2 linked regions of the Lonchura striata genome follow. The protein of the gene in region 1 interacts with the protein of each later gene in a biochemical or structural test. Links are inferred from orthologs where the notes say so. Each region holds a gene or a part of one and is shown on either strand. Other genes may lie near its edges. The genes, in order: BCL10 and CARD11.

Region 1 (3,911 bases):
CTGAGAGAGCTTTCGCTGGCCGAGGTGACCTTCACGGCTGGCTGGCAACCTCTGGGGATTGGCCCCGATTTTAACACCCAGCTCTGCAGAAATCAGCCCCGGCATCAGGTGCCTAGTCCTTTATTTTTCAACTGTTCTGGGCAGGTTCTTCGTGTTTATTTTAAAGCTGGGACTGCTAGCACTGCAAAATAGATATAGTTACAATTAATATTTCAAGTACTATAAGTGCATTAACAAAGCATGTCAGTCAAAGACTTTGCAAAACTGTAAAACTACCACAGAACTGGCAGGTTGTCCTTACTGACAGCAAACCGCAGCGTTGATCGCTTCTACTTCTGTTCATGTTTATCTGCTGAATGGAAAATTTTAGGAGTGAATAACTAGCCCGAGTTCACCCGTGTCAGCGGCGAGAACACCGACTGCTGCCGTTCCAGCGCTGCCGTTCCTGCGGAGCGGCGCCGTGTCCCGGCGGGGCAGCGGCTCCCTCTGCTGCTGCCTTGGAGCACGACCCGGTGCAGCGGAGCGGCTTCTGAACACCGCCAGTCCCCGAAACCTGCGGGCAACCGGCCCCGCCCGGTACGGCCCGGTGCCGCCAGCCGCCGGCACGACGAGCCGGCACCCGCACGAGCCGCGGGCCCCGACACCTCTCCGCACGCTCAAGACCCTTTAGCGGAGGGGTCGTCACATGTCCCGAGGAGCCCGAGCCGGAGCCGGCGGCGCGGCACTCCCGCACCGGGGCACCGAGCCCGGCCCGCGCGGCCGCAGGACCGGGAGCCGCCCGCGGGCGGAGCGCCGATCCTCAGCACCCATTGGCGGGCGGCCGGGGGCGGAGCGCCGATCCTCAGCGCCCATTGGCGGGGGGCCGGGGGCGGAGCGCCGATCCTCAGCGCCCATTGGCGGGCGGCCGGGGGCGGAGCGCCGATCCTCAGCGCCCATTGGCGGGGGGTCGGGGGCGGAGCGCCGCTCCTCAGCGCCCATTGGTGGGCGGGCCGGGGGCGGAGCGTAGCGCAGACCCTGAGCTCCCATTGGGGCGGGGCCGCGCTGGGGCGTGGCCGCGGTTTGTCCCGCCTGGGGGCGGGGCGACGCGCCGAGGCTGAGCTGCCATTGGCGGAGGCGGGCGGGGGCGGAGGCGCCGCCCCGCGCGGGTTTCCCCAGCGGCGCCGCCGAGGGTTCCGCCATGGAGGGCCCGGGGTCGTGGGCGAGCTCGGGGGGCGCGGGGCGGCCGCTGACGGAGGACGAGATGGCGGAGGTGAAGAAGGATGTAAGTGGCGGGCGAGCCGGGGGCTCGGTGCCCAGGCCGGGCGCGGAGCGGCGAGTGGGGCCCGTGCGCGGGCGGGGGAGCGGAAGCGCCGTGGGAGCGGGCGGGGGGCCGGGCCGGGCCGGGGCCGGGCCGGGGAGTGTCGGGCGCGGCTCGGCCCGCCTGGGCCCCCTCGCGAGCGCGGGCCCGGGGCCGCCCCGTCCCCGCCGGGCCCCGGGCCGCCCGCCCTGCGCGGGCCCGGCTCCGGGGCTCGGCTGCGGCGGTCGCCGCGCCGCTGCCTGCGGGACCCGAAGCTCGGCTGGGAGTGTGACTGCTGCTCCTGCGGCCAGGGAAGTGAATTCTTAGAAAGCGGGGATGTCTTCGTTAAGTATCCTTAGATATTTTTTATTTTTATTGAGGCTTATTGTTCTATATTTTCCTGGGTTTTCCCCAGTACTTATTCACTGTTGTTTGGAATCTGAGGGAAGACTTCATCCTGATCCATTCTGGAATAATTTATCTCAACGTGAGACTGGGAAGCAATGCATTAACAACTTCAACAAGTGATTGCTTAATTTAAAAATAAAAAAATTAAAAGTAAAAAAATTTACTTTTTAATAAAAAGTAAAATAACAGTTTATCACTTATTTATTGCCTATCCATGGTTCTGTTTGTAATTTATAGTGTCTTATGTTTGATTCATTGGGGTTTTCTTACGTTCTCTTAAAGTACAGTAAAGACTCCTTGCAGCTTGTTTTTTTCTAGCTTTATGCTTAAGTGATTTCTTTTTAAATGCTTTGTCATAGTTTTGTGAGACATGTTTTTCAAGCTAATACTCGTTTCCACAGGCTGATACTGCAATAGTTGGCATTGGGTAGTTACACCAAAAAAGGATAAGAACTACTTGAGTCAGACACTGTAGGTATAACATGACAAGTATGTTTGTCTGGGTCAGTGACTGAACCCGCAGCTGCATCTCACAGAAGTGCATGATTGTCACTTCAGCCCTTGATCTTACAGGTATAGTACTTGGAGGAGAAAGGATGGAAACCTTAGGTAGAAAGAAATAACCTTCTTTTTATCATCAAAATGCAGTCCCACAAATCTGACTTTAGAGCTTCTGCAGTCAGATTTTAAATGTTGTGGCTTCACAACTGACTCGGCTCTCTCAGGGCTGTTCAGGAGACTTTGATGGGATCTCTGCAGGCCAGGGTGCTGTGTTAGCAGAGTCACTGTCTATGACAGGGGACCTCAGGAAACTAAAACTAGCAAGGACATCTTGATCTGGGCAAGCTGGTCTTGAGGAAGAGTTATAACGTTTGGAGTCTTGCAGTTAAGAGCTGAGAAGGATGAGGGTGAGAATCACTCATACAATGGAGTAGGGTTGCAAAAGACTAAAAGCAGCCACTAATGTTGAGAGTACGTACATTTATGGATGAAAGTGCATTTATCTTGGATGTCAGTAATTTGTTGAACTTGTCAATAGTGTAAATAAATAGGATTATTTACAAACCTTTTGAACTGGGAGCATATTCATGCTGTTGCTTTGAGACTGCTTTTGCTCAATGTACAGAAAACGTCAACAACTGCAGTATTTTGGAGTTGTGCCTCAAGGATAACACATGTGGCAATCAGATGACCAGTGAAAATGGGTGTATTTGTAGACAAAGTGAGTAGGTGCTGTTTGGTATAATTCCATTTTTACTTGATTGTTTTGAAACGTGCTAACCTCAGACCTTATGTAATCACATTTTTTATAAGCAGTCACCATATTTTGTAACAAGCATTGGAACTCCTGAGTTCAGTCAAAGAGTTAATGAAAGTGATAATTAGGTAACAGTTTTTTTAAAAAATTTTTTTACACTGAGAAAAGTCTCAACTAAGTAACACAGCAGCAGCTTTAAAAATTCTTTTGCTAACCTGTATCAAAATCATATAGGTTCCAACTACAGGGTTCTAAGTAATTAGAAATGTTGGCTAATACTAGTTTGTTTTGTTTTTCAGGCTTTAGAAAGGATGCGTCCTTACCTGTGTGATAAAATCATAGCTGAGAGACACTTTGATTACCTGCGTTCTAAGAAAATACTCACTAGGGAGGACACAGAAGAAATTTCTGCTCGATCTTCCAGTAGGAAAAAAACTGGGAAGTTGCTGGACTACTTAGCAGAAAATCCAAAGGGACTGGATACTTTGATTGAATCTATCAGACGAGAAAGAACACAAAACTTCCTGTTAGAAAAGATAACTGATGTAGTGTTGAAAGTCAAAAACGAAAAGCTTGAAGCTATTAAAGGTAACAACTTTTTAATAATGTTGTGTAAGACATAGGTTTTATTTTGAGGGTCTGCAAAATTAAAATCCAAAACAAAAGTCTTCCTCTGGTATTTGGAACAACATGTTTGGAAATATCTCCAGTTTGCATTTGAGATCCTAGTGTGTGTATCCTGGTTTTACCTTTTTACTATCTGAACACATCCACCATAAATAATAAGTAGCAAAAAAACCCCTATTGTGTTATTATGATGGATAAAGCTGTCTTCGTATTTCAGTTTTGCTTTTCAAAAATGGGTGGTTATCTTCCATCTTTCATTTCTCTTCAAGGTATTTGCTGCAGTGGCAGGATGCTCTGGTTTAGTTAAACTTTGTGCCTCAGCAGAAAATATACTAGCAAATG
Region 2 (3,911 bases), on another chromosome or scaffold:
TCAGGATCCCTCAGCAGGGTGGCAGAGCACTGCAAGATGTTTCTAGAAGTGATGGTGACTGCTCTGGTGGGTTTGGCTGCAGGGAGGCTTCTGGTTGCAGCAAGAGCTAAATGTCCTCTGTGAGACCCACCAGGGGCTGGGTTTGCATGTTGGCCTTAAGGCTGGAATCCAGCATTGAAGCAATACAAGCTACTGCAGCTTCTCTGTGTCGGCAAAGACTGCCTTTGGAAAACACGTTATTCAAAACATCCTTCAACTGTAAAATAATTTGATGCATAAAGCAAACCTTGTTGACTACCTTTTTAGCAAAATAAGCTATTAATAATCTAGATGCCTTAATGAAAAACCTTTGATACCTTGGGAAAACCCAGAGCTCCTTCTGCCTGGAACTGTTGTTCTTGAAACTCTGTTTTCTTCAGTTCCTTCATTCTTTTTTCTCTCCCACCTGCTTTCTACCAGCAAGTGCCCTGAGACACCAGGGCTGCTGCTCTGTGCTGGGAAAGGCACAGCACCAGCCAGGCTGGCATTAAGCACATCCCCTTGAGCCTGAGGAAATCATGCCCTGGAAGTGTGTGGAGCTGAAGTGAGGCAGTGGAGACAGGCTGCTTCTTGTGCCCGAGCCGGGCATTTGTGCTGCCACCTCTGCCCACTGCTCTTCCTGGGAAAGGGGCAGCAGTGCCTCCTGATTTGCTTGCCTGCTGCCACAGGGCTCTGCTGTCACCTGCCTGCAGAGTCATTTGCAAACAGGCCCTATTGCTGGGGAGCAGAAATGTGTTTTTTTCAACCTGCAGCAGATTTATAGTCTGGTTTCCTGTCAGATCTTTGCATTTTCCTTCTCTGCCCCTCCCAGCCTCTGACACACTTTTTCTTACTTTCTGTGTGGCTCTTTGCTCATTCTGACACCAGTGCCCCCAGCCTCCTTCATTCCTGATTCTCCCGAGACTTTTGTACTTTGGGGGCCAGGGAGTGTTTTGCTTCTTGTGTTTCCTTAACTTTTCAACAGCTGCAGAGCACGAATAACCTTTCCAGGACTCCTGGAGAGACACAGACTGTTGCATGGAGGCGACGTAGAGAGTGCAGCCTGCAGCAGCTGCAGCCCCACAGCCGGTCACTCATGGGCACCCAAGGTAAGGAGAGCAGCTGGCAGAGCAGCTCCCCTCCCTGCTGCCTACACAGCTCTGATCACTGAAAGTTCCACTTTCACCTTTTTCGTGTTGATATTCAAAAGGTTCTTTGAAAATGGTTCCATTTGTGCTTCCCTTGCCATCATCAGGTCTGATATTCAGCGTGTGTCGATCTTTGGAGCCCAGGCTTGAGGGAGGCAAAGAGGCTGTAGCTGGAGGTGCAAATGTGCACTGGGAAACTGAGTTGATATGGAGGTCTGGAGAGGGGAGATGAAGGACTGATCATCAGTGCTGGTCTCCAGGGTATTTCTGGTTCTACCCATAGTGTGTTGAACTCTAGCCCTTTCTTTAAATCTCTTCACTGAGATTTATGCTTTCTGCTAACAAGTAAAATCTTTATTATTTGGTTTTCTTCCTCTTTTTATTTGTTCTTCTCACTTCCCTTTTTCTTTTCTCAACCCTTTCTATTTCTTATCTTTTTCACCATCTTTTTATGCCTTTTTATGCCTTTTTATGCCATCAAGAGTATTTTCTGTGTGACAAATTATTTCCCTTTTTCATTCCTTTCCTTTCCCTCTGCCTTCTTTCATGTCTGTGCATCCTCCCTCAAGTTCTTAATCTCTCCCTCCCCTCTGTCAGTTCCTTCTTGTTCTTGTGTTCCCCTTTCCCGTTGTTCCTCCAGCTTCACACATGCACTCCTACTTCCTGCTCCATCCCCTCTCTCCTGTGTTTGCTGCACTGGAAAGAGCCTTTCGTGAGAGCTCTTGCCTCTCCACTGGCCTGTCCTTGCACACATGTGTCTCTTAGTCCTGTCATTCCCTTCCATGGAAGTGTTCAGGATTTGCATATTTACAGTTTTGGGGATGCATCCCAAAATAGGAGACTTTTACCCTTGCATAGCTTCCTTCCAATGCTCAGACTCATATTTAGTCATTCACAGCAAATAACCACTGTCATCCTGTCTCTCTGTTTCTGTCTTACAAACAGCATTTTCTAGCACCTGTAACCCCTTTGTCTTCCTCTCCACTCTCAAATAGAGCCTGCCCTGACTTTGTGTATTCTATCCCTTCTCTTTTTGCCATCCCACTCCTTCCTACCTTCTTACCACAACTCTTCACCAGGTTTCTCTATCTGTTTTTATCTTTATATTGCATTCAAACTAGGAGGAAATGCTGAAGCTGCTGGGCTTGCACTGCTGCCTTAGGATCCCTCTGCCAGCCTGCAGGGGAACCAGAGGAAGTATTGCAGTCTCTCAGCTCCTCTTTCCTCTGCAGAATAACCAACCTGAGCAGAGAAAGAGCTTAGTGACTGAACTGAAGGTAGATGAAAAAATGGGAAAGTACATTGCAAAATGCCTTTTGAAAACTGTAAAAAATAGTTCTAGTTGTTAGTTAATCTTTTTACTAAACTGAATAAACTTCGGCAATTCCTGCCCCACAGCAGAATTTCTTATCTGACACTGGCATAGTTTTTGTCCTTTTGATTCCTATGGGATTCCAAGTCCCAAAGGTAGACGTTCTCATCTCCGATGCTGTAGTGGCAGTTACTTTGCTCCTAGGATCTGGAAACAGCTCATGTCTTTTATACCAGACATACTGGTGAGTCACCAAGATCAGACATGGCTAAAAACTGCATCCAAGGACAATATCTGGTGTTATTCCTTGCTTAAATTTGTATGCTTTGAATCAAATATGACAAATAAGTGTACTTCTTTGATGAAGCTTTTTAGCCTCACCTTCTTGAGCAGGACTATTGAGACTGAAGATTTATTCCTAAGGATGTTCTCGTGTGGTCTTTTGGGAACTGAATAAGTTTCACTTATTAAACTCAGCTGAATTAATAAGAGAATTATTATGTGGGAGAATTCTCTTAGCAATCTGTCTGGCTCTCTCAAATTGTCCATCTCCTTATGAGTGAAAGGAGCTTAAATTTTTATGTTTGCAATTATAAAATATCCTTTCTGATTCAGAGTTAGAAAACTGTGGCCTTTGAGCTGTGAGAATTCTTTCTGAATACAGAAAGAGGTACATTAAAATATCTTTGCCTTTTGGATCTTGCAAAAAGTCCACAAGCCTAGAACAATAAAATACGAGATGCTAATTTTATACATTCAGGTCTAAAATGACTCTTTCTTATTCTGTTGCAACTCATCTTGTGATGGGAACAGCATTTGTATTCCTTTGAGTCATTTGAAAAAGCTTTAGGATGTTGTGCCTTATTTCATCAGTACTTTCTGCCCCTATTACTGGTTCTTTTTGTAAAGGCTCCCATAAATAAATGGGCTGGGACAATGTCTCTTCTCTCTCACCCCCTCCTTTTTCTTTTTGCATCACATTGTTTCCCTGTGTTGAGCTAAAATGGACAATGTCAAAGGTGTGTTGTGATTTTTGCAAGGGGACCTGGAGACAGAAATTGTATTTTTGTGTGTGTCTGTGTCCAGTTTCTTCAATAATGTGTCTGGCAGAGGAGGAATTTCAGCAGGAAAGAGCCTGGAAACTTTCTATCCTCAGTAAATTTCTGTATCAAGAGAGCCAACCCCAGAACAGAAATTCAGAATCACGTTTTACTCCCTGTTCTTATGCAAATAGTTACTTCCAATTAGATTTAACTCTTAATTAAGAGTTCAATAAACTTTAATGATGAACTTTCTTAATACACTTTCAGCGTGGGAGAAGGAAGAGCCATCTGACTGCCTGTATCTTTTACAATTAAAGTCAATTTGGACCTTCTCTAGAAAGATGAAACCCAGATAACTGGATATGCTGAAGATACCAGAATGCCATACAC

What was found.
Region 2: the proteins of BCL10 (region 1) and CARD11 form a complex in vitro, tested with the Homo sapiens proteins (2 studies listed by BioGRID, with this or other methods). The link is inferred for Lonchura striata from reciprocal best matches to the Homo sapiens genes BCL10 and CARD11.

What each region holds. Positions count from the first base shown.
Region 1 is NC_134611.1:18,376,822-18,380,732, reverse strand, and holds the start of BCL10 (B-cell lymphoma/leukemia 10), read left to right. Parts: upstream 1-1,126; 5' UTR 1,127-1,177; coding exon 1,178-1,261; intron 1,262-3,241; coding exon 3,242-3,530; intron 3,531-3,911. UniProt on the Homo sapiens protein: Plays a key role in both adaptive and innate immune signaling by bridging CARD domain-containing proteins to immune activation.
Region 2 is NC_134618.1:13,867,839-13,871,749, reverse strand, and holds the start of CARD11 (caspase recruitment domain-containing protein 11), read left to right. Parts: upstream 1-1,007; 5' UTR 1,008-1,114; coding exon 1,115-1,127; intron 1,128-3,911. UniProt on the Homo sapiens protein: Adapter protein that plays a key role in adaptive immune response by transducing the activation of NF-kappa-B downstream of T-cell receptor (TCR) and B-cell receptor (BCR) engagement.